Linked DNA regions of Canis lupus familiaris. The protein of the gene in region 1 interacts with the protein of each later gene in a pairwise test. Links are inferred from orthologs where the notes say so. Each region holds a gene or a part of one and is shown on either strand. Other genes may lie near its edges.

The links. The genes of interacting proteins can lie anywhere in the genome.
Region 2: the proteins of RGS2 (region 1) and DDR1 interact in a two-hybrid assay, tested with the Homo sapiens proteins (2 studies listed by BioGRID and IntAct). The link is inferred for Canis lupus familiaris from reciprocal best matches to the Homo sapiens genes RGS2 and DDR1.
Region 3: the proteins of RGS2 (region 1) and LRFN1 interact in a two-hybrid assay, tested with the Homo sapiens proteins (2 studies listed by BioGRID and IntAct). The link is inferred for Canis lupus familiaris from reciprocal best matches to the Homo sapiens genes RGS2 and LRFN1.
Region 4: the proteins of RGS2 (region 1) and WDR74 interact in a two-hybrid assay, tested with the Homo sapiens proteins (2 studies listed by BioGRID and IntAct). The link is inferred for Canis lupus familiaris from reciprocal best matches to the Homo sapiens genes RGS2 and WDR74.

The regions. Positions count from the first base shown.
Region 1 is NC_049259.1:6,817,442-6,823,137, reverse strand, and holds RGS2 (regulator of G-protein signaling 2), read left to right. Parts: upstream 1-1,986; 5' UTR 1,987-2,035; coding exon 2,036-2,145; intron 2,146-3,169; coding exon 3,170-3,271; intron 3,272-3,374; coding exon 3,375-3,436; intron 3,437-4,014; coding exon 4,015-4,181; intron 4,182-4,455; coding exon 4,456-4,650; 3' UTR 4,651-5,315; downstream 5,316-5,696. Other genes in the region: protein SPT2 homolog, read right to left, coding at 725-878, 1,579-1,979. UniProt on the Homo sapiens protein: Regulates G protein-coupled receptor signaling cascades. Inhibits signal transduction by increasing the GTPase activity of G protein alpha subunits, thereby driving them into their inactive GDP-bound form.
Region 2 is NC_049233.1:792,089-797,596, reverse strand, and holds the start of DDR1 (epithelial discoidin domain-containing receptor 1), read right to left. Parts: upstream 3,546-5,508; 5' UTR 3,544-3,545; coding exon 3,394-3,543; intron 1,951-3,393; exon of another isoform or gene 1,807-1,950; intron 1,789-1,806; exon of another isoform or gene 1,737-1,788; coding exon of another isoform or gene 1,632-1,736; intron 448-1,631; exon of another isoform or gene 283-447; intron 1-282. UniProt on the Homo sapiens protein: Tyrosine kinase that functions as a cell surface receptor for fibrillar collagen and regulates cell attachment to the extracellular matrix, remodeling of the extracellular matrix, cell migration, differentiation, survival and cell proliferation.
Region 3 is NC_049222.1:114,669,843-114,675,322, forward strand, and holds the start of LRFN1 (leucine-rich repeat and fibronectin type III domain-containing protein 1), read left to right. Parts: upstream 1-1,935; 5' UTR 1,936-1,996; intron 1,997-2,161; exon of another isoform or gene 2,162-2,285; intron 2,286-4,548; 5' UTR 4,549-4,666; intron 4,667-5,480. UniProt on the Homo sapiens protein: Promotes neurite outgrowth in hippocampal neurons. Involved in the regulation and maintenance of excitatory synapses. Induces the clustering of excitatory postsynaptic proteins, including DLG4, DLGAP1, GRIA1 and GRIN1.
Region 4 is NC_049239.1:54,372,791-54,378,337, forward strand, and holds the start of WDR74 (WD repeat-containing protein 74), read left to right. Parts: upstream 1-2,002; 5' UTR 2,003-2,076; coding exon 2,077-2,143; intron 2,144-2,226; coding exon 2,227-2,333; intron 2,334-2,419; coding exon 2,420-2,541; intron 2,542-4,599; coding exon 4,600-4,675; intron 4,676-4,816; coding exon 4,817-4,963; intron 4,964-5,108; coding exon 5,109-5,210; intron 5,211-5,547. UniProt on the Homo sapiens protein: Regulatory protein of the MTREX-exosome complex involved in the synthesis of the 60S ribosomal subunit. Participates in an early cleavage of the pre-rRNA processing pathway in cooperation with NVL.

The sequences.
Region 1 (5,696 bases):
AGAGAGAGAGGCAGAGACACAGGCAGAGGGAGAAGCAGGCTCCATGCACCGGGAGCCCGACGTGGGATTCGATCCCCGGTCTCCAGGATCGCGCCCTGGGCCAAAGGCAGGCACCAAACCGCTGCGCCACCCAGGGATCACACGCATTTAGTAAGTATTGAATAATCAGAACGTGAAAACTGATGGAAATACTATGCAAGGTTCTTGTAGAGACAGAGTATATGCATGAGAAAAACAGCATTCTTACATTTCACAAACACATCTTGAAGTATTTATTACTGAAATCCAAATGTTTTTTTTTTTTTTTTCCTTTCCATAATGAACTACATGTCTGTTCTCTTTAGTAGTAACTGCAGATTTTACCCTACATGTCAACTACTGGCTGCTCAGGGCACGAAGTTAAACTAGCTCCAATTTCCTTTTGGCAGTTCTAATGCAAAGCTCGGAGAGTATCTGTAGCCTAATCAATACCTTGCTGTGAGTCTTACTTTGTACTTAAATGCTTGATGGGGAAACCATCTGAATATTCCACTGTACGGCTCTGATACCTGAAATCAAGGAGTGAATTGTGTTGAGGTCATCGACTGTGGACCTTCTCCGTTTGTCCTTCCCACTCAAAAACACTTAAAGCCGGCCTTCGCACAGATGATTTTTGAACAATCACCAAATTATGCAAGTAAACCCTTCACGTCTTCTTCTCCTCCCTCCCCCACTTTGCAAGTTATTAAGTGTTCTGGTAAATTCTCAGCCAAGAATGACTCATGAGGAAACCCTGCATCCTTGCACTCCCAGGACGAGGATGGCTCTGGCGCATCACAGTTTCCACGTCTTGGTGTTTCCCTCCGTCTCCTCGTGAGGAGAGCTGGGACTTCTCTGTCCTGGAAGGAGAAGCAACCAAGGATTTCGGAGAAAAAGCTTTGCAACCCCACGGGAAGACCCAATCACGCAGGTTGCGGGGAGCAAGGCTGCACACCCTCTTAAAACACGGCCGTCGGATAAAGTCCCTTTCTCCGGTTCCTTCCCTGCTTACCGTTCAGTCCCCGCAGGGTTCCGGGTTGCCCCCCCCCACCCCACCCCCCGGCCGCGCGGGGGTCGCTGCCCCCGCCCCTGCCCCACCCCCGCCCCCGTCCCCCGCGCCCCCGCCCCGGCCCCCCCGCCCCTGCCCCACTCCCCTGCCCCACCCCCGCCCCCGTCCCCCGCGCCCCCGCCCCGGCCCCCCCTGCCCCTGCTCCTTCCCCCACCTGACCCTGACCCTGCCCCACTCCCCTGCCCCCACCCCGGCCCCCCCGCCCCTGCCCCTGCCCTCCCGCCCCCTCCCCTGACCCTGTCCCCCCTGCCCTGCCCCCCCGCCCCTGCCCCCCGCCCCCTCCCCCTGCCCCCCTCCGCCCCTACCCCCCTCGCTCCCGCCCCCGCCCCCGCCCCGCCCCTCCCTTTCATCTTTTCCTCCCCTCCCAACTCAACGGAGTCGCACAGCGGAAGAGGGGAGGGTCTCCCCGCGGCCTGTTTGCAAGAAATGAGGCGTGGGAAGAGGGCGCGCTCTCCAAAAAACAAGGGCGGGGGGTTGGAAAACATCTTAACTCAAAATAAAGCACTTGCACCCCGGTCCGCTCCCAGCAGCCTCTCCCCGCCGGAGCCTGCACCCCTCCAGGGCCGGGAGCGCCCCCTCCCGTCGTCCCGTCGTCCCGTCGTCCCGTGGCCGGGGCGCGGCTGGCGGCGAGGCGTCCCGGTCCGATCCCACACGCAACCCCGCGAGCCGCCGCGAGGGCCCGAGCGCGCACGGAGCCGGAGCCGGAGCCGGAGCCGGAGCCGGAGCCCGAGCCCCGGACGTCAGCCCACCTCGCTTCGAGAGCCTTCGGCGGCGCCCGTGACCGCCGCGGGCCGGGCCGCCCGCCCCCGCGCCCGGGTGCAGCCGACCAATCGGTGCCCTCGGGGGGCGGGCCCGGCGGCGGAGGCCCCGCCCCCTCCCCGCCGCCGCCCATAAAGGCGGCGCCCGCGCCCCGCCGCGCAGAGCTGCGGCCCCGGCAGGCGGTGGACGATGCAAAGTGCCATGTTCCTGGCCGTCCAGCACGACTGCGGATCCATGGACAAGAGCTCGAGCAACAGCCCCAAGCACGAGGAGAAGCGGGAAAAGATGAAGCGGACCCTGTGAGTACGGCCCTCGGGCGCCCGCCCCGCGCTGCGCACCTGGCGCTCCGGGTTTGCTGCGAACGTGATGACGTTAGGAAACCCTGCGACCCGCGCCTCTGCAGGGAAAAGCAAAAATGTGGAAGAGGGCAATTAGCTAAGTAAGGTTCAATCTGTGTGCGTGAGCCAAGGACTCTCGGGTAGTTTAGGACTGAGAGCATGTTAGATAGGGAGGCGGTGGTGATGAGGAGGATGAGGAGGCTAAGACCTCGCAGGTTGGCTTTGTGGCCCCTGCGTCTAAGGTAGCAGCCGAGGATCCTGGGGCCGAAGCACATCCCCAGCACTGGTGCCTTGCATTATAAGTTCTGATCAGCTTGCACAGCTTCCGGATTGGAATATTTTGGCTGGTTCTGAACATACTCGTTTTAAAATCGCTTTTTTTTTTTTTGACTGAATTGCTTAATTCACCCACTAAAGATTGTGCAGCAAATCATCGTTATGCATCATCTGCTTAAAATGAGTGTTGTAGTTGGGCTGGGGCAGGGGAACTCAGTCTCTCTCTCTCTCTCTCTCTCTCTCTCTCTCGGACACACATACACCCCCTGCCTCATGGCTTCTGGAGTGGTCCAGAGCCTCTTGCTCTAAGGGTAGGAGGGAAATGAACACCCACTGGCTCCAAGCAGTTCCAGTGTTAGGTTTCTTCAAGTGTGAAATGTCTCAGAATTGTAATCAAGGCTGCAGAAAAACTGCGGTCTTTTGTGGGTCAGAAATTGCATCTGTCTTTTTGAAATATGCCATCTAAATTCATTTAAATGTCCTAGGTAGACTTACCCTTGGTTATGAGAGTAGTACTTCTGCTCAGATGAAGGGATGAAACTAATTGCGTTAAGCACGTAGGTGCTAGGTTTAAATGTAAAATGAGTAAGACTGACTTGAAGATTCTTGTTGCTACTGGGTGGCTTTATTTGGTAAAAATGCCTTCAGCTGCCACAGCAATTTCAAACGTTGTCACTTAGTGAATATCTTTTTTTTTTTTCTTTTTAAGATTAAAAGATTGGAAGACCCGTTTGAGCTACTTCTTACAAAATTCGTCGTCTCCTGGGAAGCCCAAAAATGGCAAGAAAAGCAAACAGCAAACCTTCATCAAGTAAGTTGAAAAATCTTGTATTTGCGAACATGAATAGCTAGCTGCTGAGCTGAAAAGAGGAATTCTGATGTGCACGAGCTAATGAGCAGACCTTCTTTTGCAGGCCTTCTCCTGAGGAAGCACAGCTGTGGTCAGAAGCGTTTGATGAGCTGCTAGCCAGTAAATGTAAGTTAACCTTTTGAATTTGATCCATTTCACAAGATATCACAAATATCACAAGAGTCCACAAAGGTGTTCACAACAGAAAAGCAGATTGCTCAAGGGGAATTCAAATTTGCAATCACTAAAGATCTAATGCCTATTTTTCTCCTTTATTTCCTGTTTAACCATAGAAATACATGGTTTCTTCACTGTAGATAGGGAAGGAAAAGTAGCCCAAATTGTAGGGGCAGTTGCTCTTCCTTAAGGTTGAATTGAATCAGCTTTTTCCATTGCATACAAGGTTTCCAGGAGGTTTGGAGCCCGGAGAATTTAGGTTCCCCTCTAAATATTTGCATTAAAAGCAAAGTTAAGTATATTTTGTAGCAGTGTGCCAGCTTATGCATTTTGCCTATTAGCATCTTAGTCTTTAAAAGGCTAAATTCTGAGGGTTACAAGTTTGAGTGAAATATAGAAAATTGCCATCATTTAGAAATAATAAAATATAGGGATGGGAGAATGGTAGTTCTGGAAAAATTTTAAGGCATTAATTGGTCACCCAATTTACATTCTGCATGTTTTTTCCCCCCTTTCTTCCTCCCCAGATGGTCTTGCTGCATTCAGGGCTTTTTTAAAATCTGAGTTTTGTGAAGAAAATATTGAGTTCTGGCTGGCCTGCGAAGACTTCAAAAAAACCAAGTCACCCCAAAAGCTGTCCTCCAAAGCAAGGAAAATATATACTGATTTCATAGAAAAAGAAGCACCTAAAGAGGTAAGGGGGGCAAAAAAAGAACTTCAATTCAGCATATTTTGAATATTCTTAGCACCAAAATGAAACAAAAAGACATTAAATTAAAGGGGGGAGGGACAAGATTGTTTCAAGAAACTAATTCTAGTTTTTAATTCGCTTAATTTCATTTCTTCAATGACTTGGCTAATGAAGCTCATCACACATTATAGTTTTTGCTGCTTGTTTTCAACGATTAAATAGGTATCAGTCCCTAGCTTTGAATATGGAATAAACCCCTTTTTTTTTATAATTTCAGATAAACATAGACTTTCAAACCAAAACTCTGATTGCCCAAAACATACAAGAAGCTACAAGTGGCTGCTTTACAACCGCCCAGAAAAGGGTCTACAGCTTGATGGAGAACAACTCTTATCCCCGTTTCTTGGAGTCAGAATTCTATCAGGACTTGTGTAAAAAGCCACAGATCGCCACAGAGCCCCATGCTACATGAGACGAAAAGGGGAGCCCAAGAGTGGAGGACATTTCATTTTGTTCCTAAGGGGAAAGGCTGCGACCTTCCAAAAAGACTGACCTTGAATTTAGCCTGGGTGTTCAGGAAACATCACTCAGAACTATTGATTCAGAGTTAGTGAATCAGGAAGCTGGTGACTGTGTAGGAGAAGCTTGTGTTGGGACGGCTCCCATAGCTCTGTCTAGAACCCAGGGAGAAGGTGGTCCAAATGTGGTGTGTCTCACTCACACTGGAAAGGCAGGAATGGGAGACCCAAAGGTCTGATGTGACACTGTTGGTCCAAACACATTTAAAATCAATAGGTCTGGGATTATGTGGCCTTAGCTAGCTGGCTGTATATCTTTCCCTAATTCAGTCCATTACCACATAGTGGTTTTAGTTTTAGTTATTTAGAATAAGTAATATTAAAATGTTTACTGTGTGCAAGGGTGTTGAAGTTCATACGACTACAGATCATCAGTACTGTTGTCTCCTGTAACACTAAAACTGAAATGGTCTGTTTGAATTGTTAAGTGTTAGAACAGAACGAGTGCTGTTGTGTAGGAAACTACATTGTTCATGATGAGTGCCAAAAACTGTCCTGAAGGCAGCTAAACTTTGACGTGGTCTTTGAATACTTTTAATAAATTTATTTTGATAAATAATGTCATTGACTATTCGGTTCAGACATGGGGGAGGGGGTTGTGGGTTGTGAGGGAGGGGAGGAGTGCTGTTAATATGGCAGCTACAAGAGAAACCTTTTTCCAGTAAAGGAGAGGTACACCAGGTGATGTGCCTGTCGAGTAAGCATTGACAGTGCTCAGAAATGAGAAGTGATAGGAGTTTGTCTTCCCTGCAGTTAACGTCTCTTTTAAACCTAATAAACATTAGGTAGACCAAGAAAAGTCAGACCGCCTCCTTAGAACCACCCTGGGATCAGACTTTCTAATATAAGCTTGTTGTTAATGAAAACAAAAACCACTGACCTTAAAGCCCTTCGTGGGTATCTACTAAAGACTAGCTGAGAAGTAAAATAACGTAATGGA
Region 2 (5,508 bases), on another chromosome or scaffold:
GCAACTGTGGCCCTGGGGGAGAGTCCCTTCACACTGAGGAAAGAAAGGGGTCCTTCCTCACAGCTGGAACTCACTTTCTCGGGGGGCAGGGGTTCCCCCCATTCTCAGACAGGAAGCCAGCACACTGGGAAGGCGGGCCGGGACCCACCTGGCCGAGCTGCACAGCCAGAGGCGCCGGGCACGTCCGGCCTCCGCCACCAGGCCCCCGCGGCCGCCGCGCCCCGCCCGCGCCCCTGCCCCCCGCCCCCCGCCCCGCACGGGGCCTCGGGCCGCGCGCCCTACCTCTCCTCGCTCTTCCCGGCAGACCCAGGCGGCCGACCCCGGAGCGGGGCCTCCTGGCGGCGGGGCAGGGGCGGGGAGGCGCAGGGAGCCAGGAGCCGGGAGCGGGAGCGGGAGGCGCCGGCGGGGCTCGGGTGTCGGGAGGCGGCTCCCGCGAGCAGCTGTCGGGGGCCTGTTCCGGGGAGAGGAGCCGGGGCTGCGGCGGCTCGGGCCCAGGCGCCGCCCCCCCCAGCGCCCCTCCCCCCCCCCCCCCCCCCCCCCCCCCCCCCCTCCCGGGCCGCGCCGGGCCCGCCGCTCCCACGCCGCCCCCCAGCATTCCCCGGCTCGCCCGGGCCCCCCCAGGTAGCCGCCCTGCGGCCCGCGCCGCCCAGCGCCCAGCCCCCTCCGCCTACCCGCGGCCCAACCCCCAGGCCCCAGGGTCCCCACTAAAGGCAAGAGCCGAAGCCCAGGCCCCACTTGGGGCCTCCCACACATCCAGGCCCCGCGAGAGGAGGGCCCCCTCCCTACTCCCCGTTTCTGGGCTCAGTTCCTGGAGAGGGAGGTGAAGGGGGCAGCCCCAGGGCGCAGGGAAGGAGCAGGTTCCCACAGGCCCGCTGCCAGCCCAGCAGCAGCAGTTTGGATGGAGGAAGGGAGCAGGGCTCACCTGTCCAAGCAGGTCCCCAGACCCACACTTCTCACACCACCGACCTTTGCTTCTCTCCGGCCCCCTCTGGCCTTCTGGCCTCTACACCCTGATCCAGACTGCCCCAGAGCCTGAGGGCCCCCACTCTCTCCTAGCCCCATTCTCTCTCTACTTGCACCTTCTACACTCACCGCCCCCCCTCGCTGCCGCCCCCTCACTCCCAGTTCTCTCAGGACCCTTTGGCCCAGACTCCTAGGCCCTAGGCCCCTTTGGCTCCCTGCTCAAGGCCCAGGAGTCCTCAGGCAAGCCTCCCTCCCGCCCAGCCAGCTCTGGCCCTGGTAAGGTCGAGGCTCTGACCACTGGCAGCGACACACCTGGACGAGGTGAGGAGGTTGTGGGGGACAGAGAGAGAATCGGACACAACCTAAAGGCACCGGAAACAGGAGTCCCAGAGATGGGCAAGGAGGCTGGGTGAGGTGGGCAGGATGGAGGACCTGTGGTGGGAGGTGCTGCACCCCACTGGGCACTGCCTCAGGCCACCATCCCTCCACACCCACACCTGTCAGCCCCACATCAATGTCACCGGCTCAGAAAGATCTGAGTCCACTGCAGATCTCCACCCCACCACACCTCACAACAGATAGCAACTCACACCGTACGTGCAGTCCCAGACAACAGCCCCAAGAAAGAAACACCGAGTCCCAACCAGACAAGTACACAAAAGTACTACCAGGAAGAAGTTGGCCCTCAGTGTGGGCAAGAGCTCCAAACCACCCGGGACACACCAATCCCAGCACGTCCAGCTGCTAAGGGGCTCACTAACGAACAGCCCCATGGCCACTCGGAGATTTGCCTCTCCCCACTGTCCCCTCTGACCAAACCTAGAGGTTCCCAGGGACACATACCCCTCTGAAGACGGCCGCTGGGGAATCTGGGCCCAGGAGAGGCTGAGCCAGGGGTGGAGCCAGGCCGGGGGTGGGGCCAAGGTTCCCCCAGTTACCTCACCTGGGCCAACTCCCGACCCCTCCTCCCAGGGACTGAGCTGGGAGGAACCCTGGGCGGGCAGGCCCGGCTGGGCTGCAGCCAGAGCCCCAGGGAAGCCCCTCACCCGCGGCTGGGACCTTCCACACCCCAGGCCCACGCTCCTGAGCCTGGTGGCATGGCAGGGCCAGACAAAAGGGCCCGCTGGGGAGAGAAGACGAGACCATAGAACCCTGAAACTCTTGTCCCTGATCTCCCCCAGGAGAAATTCCTAGTCGGTGATAGCCACCTCCACCCAGCCTGAAGCTGGAAGAGTGGGAGGGATGCAGGGCTGGGGCCCAGCGGAGTCAAGTGACAGCGGAAAGGGGGCTGGAGCTGGCTGGAATGCGGGGCTCGGAGCCGAGATTCCCAGGGGCCAGAGAGGGAAATCCCAGCTATCCAGGGGCCCCTAGAGCGATGCCAAAGACTGAGAGTGTCCACACAGTCTTTCATGGCCCTCGAGCCCATCCCACATCTACCGCATCGTTCCCAACTCCAGCCCCCAAAGGGCGGTCAACATCTCCTACACCATGCCGTCCCTCCCAGGTTACCCACCCCCCAAGCCAATGGCCTCTAGCCGCCCAGGAAGGAGAGGAGGGGAAACAGCTAAAAAAAAATGTGAGGAAAGGCACATAGGGGCCAGCAGACCACCCGCCGCTGCAGGGAAGGCCTGCAGGGCAGAGTGAGAAGGATGGACCACAAGGGCCCCACACACACTAGTGGCAGTCCCTCCCCAGGAGACGCAGCTGCCTCCTGGGCCAGCAGCTGGGGACGATGAGAACTGATGGGGCCAGGGGGTGGCAAGGCCACGGCCATGAGTCAGGCCTCGATACCACTAAGTACAAATGGGAAACTGAGGCCCAGAAGTGGAAGCAGGAGGGAGAGATGACCTTGTATGGGGAGAAAAATGAGGCTGCTCAGAGGCAGCAGCCCAGAGGGTGGGAGGGGATGGGAGGTGGGAGGGCTGGAACTCAGAGGGAGGGAATGGGGGTCACAAAAAGGAAAGGGGGATGGAGATGAAGGCACACACAGCAGAAGGCAGGAGGTGGAGATGTGAGGAGAAGAGGGCTGGACTGAGCAGCTGACCCAAGTGGCAGTGGGCACTCAGAAAGTAGGGCTGGAAAGTGAGGAGCCCTAAGAAGTGGCCCACAGCCCAGGGGGGACGATCAACAAGGCAAAGGAGAAAAGGGGTTGTAGTGAAACCAAGAGATGGGAGAAGAGGAGGGAGACTGAGGCACAGGGGTTGAAACGAAGGGACAGAGTGAGATGACAAGAAAGGGGCCAGGAAAGGAGGGGGCAACGGTGGGACGGACCAGAGGACAGAGGCCCCGACCTTTCCTTGGGAGGAGCCTAGCCATCGGCAGCGGCGTGGCCCCCAACTCCACTGGGCATCCTTGACGCCCCGCCCTCCTCCCACACCACCTCCCCAGGACGGGTGGGCCCAGCTCCAGCCCCCACCGCTGCCCCCTCACCTCCAGCTCGGGGTTCTCCTGAGTCCCAGTTCCCCGGCTCAGCCCTCCGGGTTCCAGGCCTGGGGTGGCCCAGGCGCCGGGCTTTGTCCGCCTCTCCCGGGGCTGAGAGCAGCTGCCCCGGCCAGCTGCAGCCGGCTTCGCCGTGACCATGGCAACCCGGCCCGCTGCCCTCCCTCAGCCCCTCCCCCAGCCGACCGAGCTGCGCGGCCCCGCGGAGAGGGAGGGAGCGGCCGGCCACTGGGAAGGAGGGGAGGGGGCAGAGGACTTCAAAACTGAACCAGGGGGAGACCCCAGACAAAGAGACCCCAGACAAAGGGAGATGACGGCGGCAGCGTCGGGCCGGCTGCACTGGCTGGCTGTGGCTGAGGCCTTACTCGGGCAGGGGATGTCCAGTCCTCCCAAGGGGGGAGAATCCAGACGTCGCCTGGCTGCAGGCCCTTGGAGGCCTCCTTCTGGGTCCCTAACAATCCACTCCCTCCACTCAGGATTTTGAAAAAGACACCCTGTTTTCAAGAACAGCCCCAGCTTCAAACATACGCTGACCTGTCACCTCTGAAATCAAATGTCCTTGTCAGACAGTGTCCGCCAGTTCTTAGTTTGGAAAATTTGATCCTCAGAGCAGAAGGTGACTGATAGGAGGGGGTGGCGCAGGGAGGGAGGTAGTGACCACACCTCTCACAGAGGGGAGAGAAAGCAGAGTACCAAGTGGGGAGAGGGGAAAGCAAGGCTTGGCCCCTCCGAGGTGAGGGCTGAGCTTGCCACTCACCATCTAGCTTCTTGTGCTGCATCCTACTGCATCAGTTCCCTCACCAGTAGACTGACATAACACCTGTCCCTGGAGTCTGTTGTGATAATGTGAGATGGCATCTGTAAAGCACAGGCAGGCCCTTTCATGGAAGCAACCAGCCACACTCCACTAACACGATCTCCCTCTGTGGCTCCCTCATGTGTCACTCAGGTCTCTGAGTTCCACCTCCCAGTTGATTCCATAGTTCCTAAGGGTTTGTGCGGGCAGGGCTCTGAAAGCAAGCACTGTAAGACATACATTGAGGAACACAACCCACTCCGTGCCACCCTCCCCAGGCATTTACAGTCAAGAGGGGGAGCCAGACATGTATATGCATATATATATACGTATATGTCTATAATCGCAGAAGGTAGCATCACCTGCGCTGGAGCTGGAAGGGGCTAGGGAAACCCAGGGGAGGAGCAGGCCAGTCCTGAGTCAAGGTCAAGGAAGACTTCATGGAAGAGTCGGAGTTTGGACTAGGCCTTAAGTGAGATGGAGATTTGCAGAGATGAGGCAGGGCCGCTCCTGGCTGAGGAAGGGAGGCATGAACATGGTTATGTGAAAATGCAGCTGTGACAGGAAGTCAGGGTCTGCCCAAGTGAGTAAACCCAGAGAGGCAGCGTGAGGTGAGGTGAGGTGAGGTGAGGTGATCTCATTAGTAGTTTGCCTCATTCTGTTGGTGAGAAGGGCCTTGGGATATTGAGCAGGGAAACGGCATGAATAGATTTTTAAAGGTGGTTCCTGGTGGCAGTGTGTTGGCAGCATCTGAGAGCAACAGCTGAGGGGTGCGGGTGGGAGGGCGTGTTGACTGTTGATCTCAACTTTATTCTGTCCACATCTAGCCAGTGTTTGACCTTCCACCCCCAGCCAGGAATGCCATGAGGAAATGCTGAGATCCTGTAGGGAAGTGGTGCACAGGCTAGATATTTTCCTGGTATTTACACCTATCATTTGGCCCTCTCCACTGGAGCCTTTGAGGTGGGTGGCACAGAGCTCTTCATAAAAGGAGAACCAGGGCTGGAGAGGTTCTGAGGCAAGTTACTGCTTCCTGCCCAGGACCTCTCCTAAATTCCTCCGCCTGTCTTCCAAAAGGGGGAGGGTAGAAGGAGGGGATCCAGAACAGCCCCTGTGAGGCCAGACTAGACACTCATCTCAGCCTCTGAGTCCTGCTCTCCCTGGAAACTTCACCTTTCAGCCAACTGCGGAGGCTTACGTTTCCTGCGATGAACAGGGAGGCGCATGCTTCACAAGTGACCAACAACCAACACTGCTATTGGAGAAAGAAGTGAAGGCCTGGAGGGAAAGAAATTCCAGCCTGGGCCTGG
Region 3 (5,480 bases), on another chromosome or scaffold:
AGCTCAGGTTGGTTGTGATCCTGAGTCCTGGGATTGAATTGGCGTCAGGCTCCCCATGGGGAGCCTGCTTCTCCCTCTGCCTATGTCTCTGTCTCTGTCTCTCTCATGAATAAATAAATAAAATCTTATTAAAAAAAAAAAGAGGTGAGTGGGGCCCTCCCTGTTTGGGTTCAGCCACTTTGCTTCCCCATATTTGCGGATCTCCTTTTTTCCACTCCTGTCCATCCCAGGCCCACCCTTTCCTTCTTTTCCCTTCACCTCTACCCTGCTCTGCCACTTGTTACCTATGTCACCTGAGGCAAATTACTTAACCTCCTCATCTGTAAAATAGGGATGTGATGGGACCTCCTTATCTGGTTCCTGGAAGGAGTAAATGGAATCGTGGGTCAGGCCCTTAGAACCATTCCTGGCACACAGTAACGCTGGATGCGTGTCCGCTTTTGCTGTTGTTATGATTCTCTCTCTATCCTCCCAGCCCAGGACCTCCACACCCCATCAGGGAGCACCAGGAACCAGGTTGGGAGATGGAGATGGTGCCTGGGTGGAGGTGGTGATGGGAGTGGAGTTGTTGGAATCTGGAGATTGAGAGAGGGGGGATGTGAATGTCCCCAGGGGGCATCTAATGGGGAGTGGGGGTCAAGACTTACTAAAAGGGAGGTTCTGCAGAGGTGCCGTTGATCTGAGGGACAGGGCTGGCTTGGAGCAGTGACATAACTAGGAAGAGTTTAGGGAAGGGGTTTGGCAGAGGACGTTGATATGGTGGGATCCAAAATGGGAAGAGTTTGAGCTGCCAGGGAGCTGGGGGACTGCAATAAGGCAGATTTGGAGGGGAGGCCTTGTTGGGTTTGGGGGCCTGATGAGTATCTCAGAAAGAGGTGGAGAGTGGGGAAGGGCTGGTGGGGTCAGCTAGTGGGTAGGATTTAGGCAAGAAAGGAGTCTAACCAAAAAAGGAGCAAGGAATCCTGGGTTGCAAGGAAGTTACAGGGAGGAGGAAGGGTCTGCAGGGTCCAAAAGAAAGAGTAGGAACAGGAAGGAGGCAGAGAAAGAATCTGGGGCAAATCAGGGGTTCTGGAAACTAAGCCTTGCCTTAGAGGGGAGGATGGTCTGGGGTCTAATGGGGGTAATGAGGTAACTTAGGGGGAATAAGACATTTTGGGGTCCTCTAGAAATTAGACATGGTCTGGAGTCCCTGTTGAGGGTCAGGGAATGGTTAGTGGTCCTAGAGAGTGGAAGGGCATGGCTGGGGGTCCCCAAGGAGCCATAGGATATGGTTTGGGTCCCCAAAGGGAGTAAGACATGATCTTGGGATGTTGACTTATGGTTTGGGTCTCCTCTGGAAGTTGGGGCATGGTCTGGGGTCTAATGGATGTGATGGTATGCTGTAGGGTCCCTGCTGGGGGTGCTCTGGATTCCCCTTGGGTGCTGGGATATGGTCTGGGGTCCCCGCTGGAGTATGGGGCAGAGTCTGAGGTCACCAAGGAGAGCAGGACATGCTTTGTGGTCCTGCGTGGCTGCAGACCATGGTTTGGGTCCTCAGAGGAGGTAAGGTATGGGGTCAGGTTCTCCTGGCTTTGGGGACCTGATCCCAGGTCTCCGCTGGGAGATCCGAGTCCCCACGCCAGTTGGGGCGTGGCCTGGGGGTCTCTGGGGAAGCCGGCGGGGCTGGGGGTGGGGCGGGGGGAGGGGCCGGGGGCGGGCCGGCGGCTCGGCAGCGGCGAGGGGTCTGCGGCGCGCCCCGGGTGGGGGTCCGGGCGCCGCGGCCGTCCCGCCCGCCCCCTCCGGCCGGCGCCCCCTCCCCCCTTGCGGCGGCGGCGGCGGCGGGGCCCTGGCGGCGGGCGGCGCGGAGGGCGGAGCTCGGCGGCGGCTCGGGAGGGAGGGCGGGAGGCGGGAGGGAGGCGGCCCCGCGGCACCGCGCCCCCTCCCCCGGCCCTCCCCCCACCATGGCGCGGAGCGAGGCGGCGGCGGCGGGGCCGGGCCCGGGGCCCCCCCGGGCTGGGTGAGCGCGGCCCGCAGCGGCCCGGGAGGCGGCGGGCGGGGGCGCCGGTGGCAGCGCGGGTGTGAGCGTGCGAGCGTGCGAGTGTGTGTCCGCGGCGCTGCGGCGGGCCCGGCGTGCGCTCGCGCGGCCCTGTGTGTGCCCGGCGCCGGCGTGTGCGGCGCCCTGCTTGTGTGGCCATCGGGTGTGTGCTGGGTGTCGAGCCGAGGTGCTGTGTCCGGCCGCGCGCGTGTGTCCCCCCGGCTGTGTGTCTGGGGGGCTGTCGCGCGCCCATCGGAGGGGCTGTGTGCAGGTGTGTGTGCGTGGGTTGTGTGCCCAGGTGTGGGTCCCCCCGCCCCCCCTCCAGCGAGTGTGCGCGGGGCTGGCTGCGTTGGGTGTTTGTGTCCAGGTTGGATGTCCATCCTAGGGTTTGTGTAGCCGGGTGTGCCCGTCCGGGTGTCCATTTGTGGTGTGTGTGTGTGTGTGTGTGTGTTGTGTGTGTGTGTCTGCGGGTTGTATGTCTCCGAGGGTGTGTGTCTGTGCGTCCATGTCAGGTTCCGGCGGGGCTGGGGCTCATTCCTTGTGGGTCCAGGCCTCTGTGTGGGTTTGGGGGAGGGGAGTTTGCCGCTCCCTGGGTCCATGTCAGCTGGGGGGTCCTCGGCGGTCCTTGGGGGAGACGGCCATGTCTTCCCCTTCCCGGTGACTGGGGGGGGATGGGCGGCCGGTAGGTGGACAGATGGAGGGATGAGAGGCCGAGGGATGGACAGATGGGCCTAGGGGAGGGGCACCGACCCGGCCCTTCCCCACCCACCCCACCCCAATCCCCCCACCCTACCAGATCTCTGGCAGATGGGGCCGGAGTTGCCCGCATACAGATGGCCAGGCCGGGGGACCTTTGGGCTGCCAGTGGGAGGACAGCCTTGTAGCCGGGCTCTAGGACTCAGCCCCCCAACCCTTGAGACTCCACCTGCTGAACTCTGACCTCAGGCCTGGCTTGTGCCTCCGTTGGGGGGGGGTGGGATGTGCTGGGAGGGAAGGATGTTAGGATTTCTTTGGCCTGGGAAGTAGGTGGGGTGGGGGTACCTCAGAGCTAGGAGGGATGTGTGTTCATGACTGTGTGTGAGTGTGAATCTATGCCTATCTGTTGCCTATGCTACTGTGGTTCAGTATTTTATGTGCATTTTGGAAGTGTGTAAATCTCTCACAGGGCTGTTGTGTGAGCATGTGTCTGGAATGAGTGAACATCCCAGAATGTCTGTGCAAGGTGCATCTTTCTGTGGCTGTGTGCTTGAGTGTGTATCAGTTTTGTGTGTCTGTGTATGCTTGTAGTTCTGTGTATGTATGTGAGGTGTGTATCAGCTAGCGTGTATGTTTGTGCATCTGTTGGTATGGGAATGTATCAGTTTTGTGACCATGCATCATGGGGATATGTGAAGTTGTATGAGTGTGTATGAGTGTGTTTGGGCATTTAAGAGCATGCACCTGTGTATCACTTGTATGTGCAAGTGAGTATATGTTATATGCGTGTGCCCCTGTGTGTTGGCTAGTGTGCAAGCATATATCTGTTATAAGTGCACGTATCTGGTTGTCTGCAAGGGGGCACATGGCTTCCTCTGTTGTATGTGTACATGAGTATGTATGAATGTGCAAAGGAAAGTCAGTGTTGTACATATGTGGTTGTGGCCGCAGGTGTGTCCACCTTGAGGGTGTGTGTCTCTGTTGTGAGTCCATTTATGTGTCAGTGTTGGTCTCTGGGGATTGGGGTTGTATAGGTTCAAACATATGTGCAGGGCAATATGCACCCATGTGTCTGTCTCTCTGGTACAAGGCTTACCTCAGTTCTTGGCCCAGTGAGATTGGGGCCTGTGTGGTGTGACCTGTGGTATGCTGGGGTCCATCCGGGAGTCCAAGGACACAAGTGTGTCCACACACCAGGCCAAGGGCCCACGGAGGGTGGGCGCACACACCATGCTGGTGTGTCCATGGAAATCCAGATGGAGAGAATTGTATTGTGGGTCCATGTGGGTTTTGGCATGTCCACATGTGTTGGTATGACAGTGGTGTAATGGTGAGGATGGGGACCTCTGGTTCTTTCCTATCCTCCATATCACTCAGCTCTTTAAAGTTGGGGGACTGGGATGTGAACCCTGGAAGGAAGAGGCTAGGCGCCTGTAATCCTGGATCTGGAGGAGGAGCAGCTGGGAGGCCAGATTCCTGAGCCTTGAGAAAGGAAGAAAGCAAGAGTTGGACTCTGGAGTTTGAAGAAGGAAGAGTCTGGGGTTGCAGACACCACAGTCTTGAGGGAGGAGGGGGCTGGAGTCTGGCCTGGCGAGCCCACAGAGGACAAAGGGTTAAAGTCCTGGACTCCCAGGTTTGGAGGGTGAACAGTCCTGAGGCCCAGACTCCCTGGATTCCAGAAATGACTCGCCGAGTCTGTCTGAGACTATACAGAGCCTGCAGCAGGAGGGTGGAGAGAATGATCACACCAGGGACTTCCGTGGCTGAGATGGTCTCTGAGGCAGGTCTTCAGAGAGGAGCCCGAAGGATGCTAATGGGGTCATTTTATTCCTTTGCAGGTACCGGCCCAGGCCCTGACTCCCCGCAGAGAGGTGAGTGGGGTCCTTCAGGCTGGGGAGAGAGATGTGGAGTGATTGGGCCTGTTCTGAGCCAGCTGGAGGCCTGGAGCCCTGCCTGGTATGGATTTCAGGGCAGGGTATGGCAGTGTCCAAGGGGCGGGGGTGGGGGGAATCTTAGGGGGGACAGTGACAACAAGGTCACAAGCATGGTTGGGTCAGGGCTGGTGGGAGAGCCAGGGCGTGGGTGGTAGTGGGAGTTTCAGGCCTGGAGGCATCCCCTCTCTGGATGGGTAAGGTCACTGGGACAGGGAAGACTTGTGATGACATCGGAAAAGGGTACAGAGAGTCTGACAACATGAAGTGACCCCCTGCATTTGGAGAGCGGCATAAACAGTTTACCATTTTGTGTGTGTGCGTGTGTGCACATGTGCGTGCGTACGGGAAGATCTCCTGGTCGCCTGACCTGCTGGTGGCTGAGAGAGAGCCAGAGAAAATGATATGTTAATAATAATAATAATAATAATAATAATAATAATAATAATAATGGCTGCTAATATTTACGCAGGGTTTACTCTGACAGGAACTATTCTAAACATGTTATACTGTGTTATCTCTGAATACTTCCAACAACCCCATGAAGTAGGTGCTATCCTTATCCCCATTTTACAGATGAGTACACCGAGGCACACAGAGGGGAAGTCACTGGATTCAAGTGGCTCAGCAGGGAACTGGGTTATGAGCCTGAGCAATCGGGTCCCGGCTCTTCCTTGCGATGCTACACTGCCTCTCAATAAACACCAGCTAGTTCCATTGCTGTTATTATTCCTTCAACTTGAGCCCCACCCCAGCAGTGGGAGGCAAAACCACGTACTTGTGCTTCATAGGTTGGGGTTCCGAGCCTTAGAGACCCCACAGCCAAGCAGGTGCAGAGC
Region 4 (5,547 bases), on another chromosome or scaffold:
CTTATGAATCATAAAAAGTGCACCTTTTCTAAAGGTATAGTAATGCCGGTGCATAAAGTGCAAGAAAAAGCTATTGCAGTTCGAATTGGGAAAATCCACTTCGTAAACACTGTCCTGTGTTTTTTTTTTTTAAATATTTTTTTTAATTGTTATTTATTTATGATAGTCACAGAGAGAGAGAGAGAGGCGCAGAGACACAGGCAGAGGGAGAAGCAGGCTCCATGCACCGGGAGTCCGACTTGGGATTCGATCCCGGGTCTCCAGGATCGCACCCTGGGCCAAAGGCAGGCGCCAAACCGCTGCGCCACCCAGGGATCCCAACACTGTCCTGTGTTGATGACAGCTGAAACAGGTGAAGTAGTGACTGCCTGTTTCTCAACCGGCCAGCAACTTAACTTGGTTTCTCTCAGGTTAAGCAGTGTTCCACGAAACTCTTTCTGAACTCAAGATGTTTTAAGGAATAACAGCGAAACAACTGCAAGGAGCTCTGTTGGGACTCGATCCTGGGACTCCAGGATCCCGCCCTGGGCAAAGGTAGGCGCTTACAATGAGAAAACCCACCCAAAAGAGGCTCCTGCAAGATAAAGGATTTAAATGTAGAACTTTTTTTTTTTAAGATTTTTAAAAATTTTTATTTATTTATGATAGTCACACACACACACACAGAGAGAGGCAGAGACATAGGCAGAGGGAGAAGCAGGCTCCATGCAGGGAGCCCGACGTGGAATTCAATTCCTGATCTCCAGGATCAAGCCCTGGGCTGAAGGCGGCACTAAACCGCTGAGCCACCCGGGCTCCCTAAATGTAGAATTTTAAAGATAAGGGCGAATTTAGGTTTAGTTTAATGCTGTGCTATTTCAATACCAGGTTGGGGGGGGGGGGGGCGGCAGTGCCCAAGGAGGCCAATAGCAGGTATAGACTGTGAAGTAGAGCCAGGGTGATTGTTTCCTTGGTAATACGACGTTAAGATAAATGTGGAATGTGATGCCCAGAACTCGCACCAGCAGCTCTGCAGCTGAGCTGCAAACGGAGGCTTGTTTCTCTGTAGAGGCCTGTGCAGGCAAAAGTGGGATGTTTTTATTCTTACTGGTATCATCTCAAACAGTCAAGTTTTTGCTACTCTAATTTCAGAGAAGAAAAATCTCTCCATAAGAAAACAGTAGTCACTCAAAGAAGGGGCTGTCCCGACGTTGTAAAGTAGCCGTTTGTCCCTGGGAGAGAAATACTGTTTTAATTTTGCAGATTTTTATTGTCAGTCAGAACTGATTTTCACCATCACCAAACCTCAAGATGAGGAAAGAAAACACGACGTCCCTACCTCCACTTTCCAGATTTCTGCTTTAAGATCGTCAGTTTCATCTTCCCCATCTTTCTTCCTTTTGTCCTTTACACTCGAGGTCGAAGCCATGTGCCTCATTAGTGATTTGAGTCATTTCTAAAGTGTGCTTTCTTGTTCAGAAGACAAGATGTACATGATGCTTTGGAATAGGGAGACGGACTAGGCCTGGCTCCCCCGGGCGACGCGGTCTGGCTAGGATGCCTTCCGCTCCAAGTGCAAAACTGTCAAGTTACTCCGGATCAGGAACAGGTGTCTCCAGATTCCCTCTTCCTAAAGCAAAACCAGTTGGCGCAGGCAGGGGGTCCTTACTCTTCCCTCTCTCTCTTTTTTTCTTTCTTTATTTTTATTTTTATTTATTTATGATAGTCACAGAGAGAGAGAGAGAGGGGCAGAGACACAGGCAGAGGGAGAAGCAGGCTCCATGCACCGGGAGCCCGACGTGGGATTCGATCTCCGGTCTCCAGGATCGCGCCCTGGGCCAAAGGCAGGCGCCAAACCGCTGCGCCACCCAGGGATCCCTTTCTTTAGTTTTTATTTATTTAAATATCTACACCCAACGTGGAGCGCCAACACGATCCCCAGATCAAAAGTCGCAAGCTTTTCCCAAGTCACCACCAAGTTCCCTGGTTCCGGCTGCTAGAACTCCCGGAGGCGGCGACCGTCCAGATCCGCTCCGCGCGCGCTGGTGACGCAGACGCTGCGCCGGAAGTGCGAGCAGCGGGCTGCCGGGCTCCGTTATGGCGGCCGCTGCTGGGGCACGCTGGAACCATGTGTGGGTGGGCACCGAGACCGGGATTCTGAAAGGTGGGTGGCTGGGCCCGGCGTGGGGAAGGTGGAGGGTGGCCCCCGCTCGTGACCGCGGCGCGATTGACGCCCGCCTCCCGCAGGGGTGAACCTTCAGCGCAAACAGGCGGCGAACTTCACGGCTGCTGGACAGCCGCGGCGCGAGGAGGCGGTGAGCGCCCTGTGCTGGGGCGCCGGCGGTGAGACTCAGGTGAGCGGCAGCTGTTCGGTCCCGAGCTGGGGAGCCAGGGTGCGGCAGCCCTGCTTGATCGTCATCCTGCCCTCTTCTACCCGCAGATCCTGGTGGGGTGCGCCGACAGAACAGTGAGGTTCTTCAGCACCGAGGAGGGTCGATTTCAGGGCCAGAAGCACTGCCCCGGTGGGGAAGGCACGTTCCGAGGCCTCGCCCAGGTCGACAGGTAAGACCGAGCCCCTCGCTGAACGCTCAGATTGTAGGAAGAGCGTGGAGACTCCCTCAGGAAGGCCGAGTAATGACAATCAACCCATAGTGCCACGGACTGGGGCGGGTGACAGGAACCTGTGTCCTACCTGTAACAAGCATTTATTGAATACCTGCTGAGTAACAGGCATGGGGTGAAATGCAAAGGCTGCAGGTAAACCAGATGCATCAGTGAAGTACCTGCCTTCATGGAGTTTGCATCCTCTAGAGTTTTGCATTCTGGCTCCATAATCTTTTGGGTGACCCTGAGCAGGTCATTTAATAGTTTAAAGTATGTTTGAAAACAGAGACTAACAACCACCAACAACACGGTGAAGTTCTCAAAGTAAAGGATAGGAAAGTGCTACCGGTTAGGTAACTTGCCAAACGTTTTCTTTTTCTTCCAAAGATGGAGAAGGCTGTGAATGAATAAGCTGTGTAGGTTTGGTGGTGTTCTGACAAGTGAGATGTAGAAATGTCTGTGTGGGTGAGACATTTGCACTGGGCCATGAAGGATGGGCAGAATTTTGACCGGAAGAGAATAGAGTAAATGCATTTTAGAAAGAGGCTACCACCTGGGCAGAGGCCAAGGATTGGTGTCAGGCTACACTGTAATTATGGGAAAGATAAACAGCATTTGGGGGTTGAAGCCGAGGATGTATTTTTTACTTATTTATTTATTTACTTACTTACTTACTTACTTACTTACTTACTTAAGATTTTATTTATTTATTCATGAGAGACACACACAGGCAGAGACACAAGCAGAGGGAGAAGCAGGCTCCATGCTGGGAGCCTGACTTGGGACTGGATCCCGGGTCTCCAGGATCACGCCCTTGGGCTAAAGGCGGTGCTAAACCGCTGAGCCCGAGGATGCATTTTAATACAATATGAGCAAGCTAGGTAGGTATTAAATGTCTTTCATAGCCAGGCTGAGATTTTTGCGCTTGTGATTTGCAGGTGATAGGGGGTATTGCGTTTGAGCAAGGAAAATGGATTGGAAAGAGCCGTGGGGAGGCTGTTGCCACAGTCCAGGCAAGCGACACAGCCTGAACCGAGGTAGAGAAGGTGGGCAGACATGAGAAAGAACATAGGCTCAGATTCTGCAGCTCCTATTCCTGGGAGAGACTTGCTTGGGGTTCATGGGAGGGGTGCATACTTTGAGGGCAAGATTGATATTTACCATCTGGAACTCCAAACAGGGAACTCGAGGGAAGAAGCTAGTGTTTGATTTTGGCCAGATCCTAAATTTAGACCAGTCCCACTTCACCAGAGCTACTGATCCTGACTCCTGGTGACCCACTTAAGATTCAGAAAGACCAGCAGGGCCAGGTGCCCCCAGACATAGCTGTGGAATAGCAAAGGCTTTCTGCTTTGGAGTGTCACAGACTTGATTTCCAGCTCTGGTTCTGACATTTATAGTTGTGTAGGCAAGTCTTATCATTTCTGAGAGCTTTAGTCTCCTCACTCACAAAACTGATAAGCCCTCCTCTTGTTGAGGATATTAAATAACAGACCTGGAAGGAGAGAATCTTGTAATAAATCTGGGAGTGGGTCCACTGGGGTCTAGAGATTACTTTTACACTTACTTTTCTTTTTCTTTCTTTCTTTCTTTCTTTCTTTCTTTCTTTCTTTCTTTCTTTCTTTTCTTTCTTTCTTTCTTTCTTTTTTCTTTCTTTCTCTTTCTTTCTTCTTTCTTTCTTTCTTTCTTCTTTCTTTCTTTCTTTTTCTTTCTTTCTTCTTTCTTTCTTTCTTTCTTTCTCTTTCTTTCTTCTTTCTTTCTTTCTTTCTTTCTTTCTTTCTTTCTTTCTTTCTTTCTTCTAAAAATTTTATTTATTTATTCATGAGAGACATACAGAAAGAGAGGCAGAGACACAGGCAGAGGGAGAAGCAGGCTCCATGCAAGGAGCCCGACATGGGACTTGATCCCAGGTCTCCAGGATCACGCCCTGGGCTGAAGGCAGCACTAAACCACTGAGCCAGCCGGGGTGCCCTACTTTTCTTCTTTTAACCTAACTCTATCCTCCTCTGTCTGCAGCACCCTCATCACATGTGTAGATTCTGGGATTGTCCGAGTCTGGCGTGAGAATGACAAGGAGGCATCCTCTGACCCAGTAAGGCTCCCCTGGCTTGCCAGTGATGGTTGGGGAAGGTGGGGGCCAGGAACCAAGTGAGGGCTTTGGGGTAAGAGGATTAAAGAATTAAAGACTATGGAACTGCTTCTCATCTCCCCTCCTATCTCCTCTTCTTTTCAGCTCTTGGAACTGAGTGTGGGTCCTGGGGTGTGTAGGATGCGCCAAGACCCAGCTCACCCCCACATGGTTGCTACGGGTGGGAAAGAGAATGCTTTGAAGGTGTGGGACCTACAGGGGTCTGAGGAACCTGTGTTCAGGGCCAAGAATGTAAGTAACGGGTGGGAGGTTCTGGGGCTGAGGCCACTGACTGAGTCAGAGACCAGGTGGGCTTTAGGGGATGATGATAAAGGGCTGAAGGAAAGGGCCTATGAGCCTCCCACAACTTATCTCCCATCTACCCACCCCTGACCAGGTACGGAATGACTGGCTTGACCTGCGAGTTCCCATCTGGGATCAGGACATACAGTTTCTTCCTGAGTCTCAGAAGCTTGTCACCTGCACAGGGTACCACCAGGTGAGGCACCATCCCACTCCTGCCTCCTGGGCTTTCTCTCCTGGAGAAATAGCCTCCCTACACAGGCTCAGTCCTCATCATTTGGCACAGCTATCCTTCTTAGGCTCTGTCCCTGAGTTTTCAGAGAGAGCCTTTCCCCCATCCATCCCAGCCCCATGGCTGAGCCAGTGACCTTCTAGTGCATTCTAGGACGAGTGTTCTGGACTGTGACCCTTTATTTCCTATCTGGAAGGGAGGAGGGAAGAAGAGAATGCCCTTTTCATAGTAGAATCACAGGGTACAGGTGTGATGAGAGGACACTGGGTTGGGTGGCAAGAAAACTGGGTTCTGGTTTTGT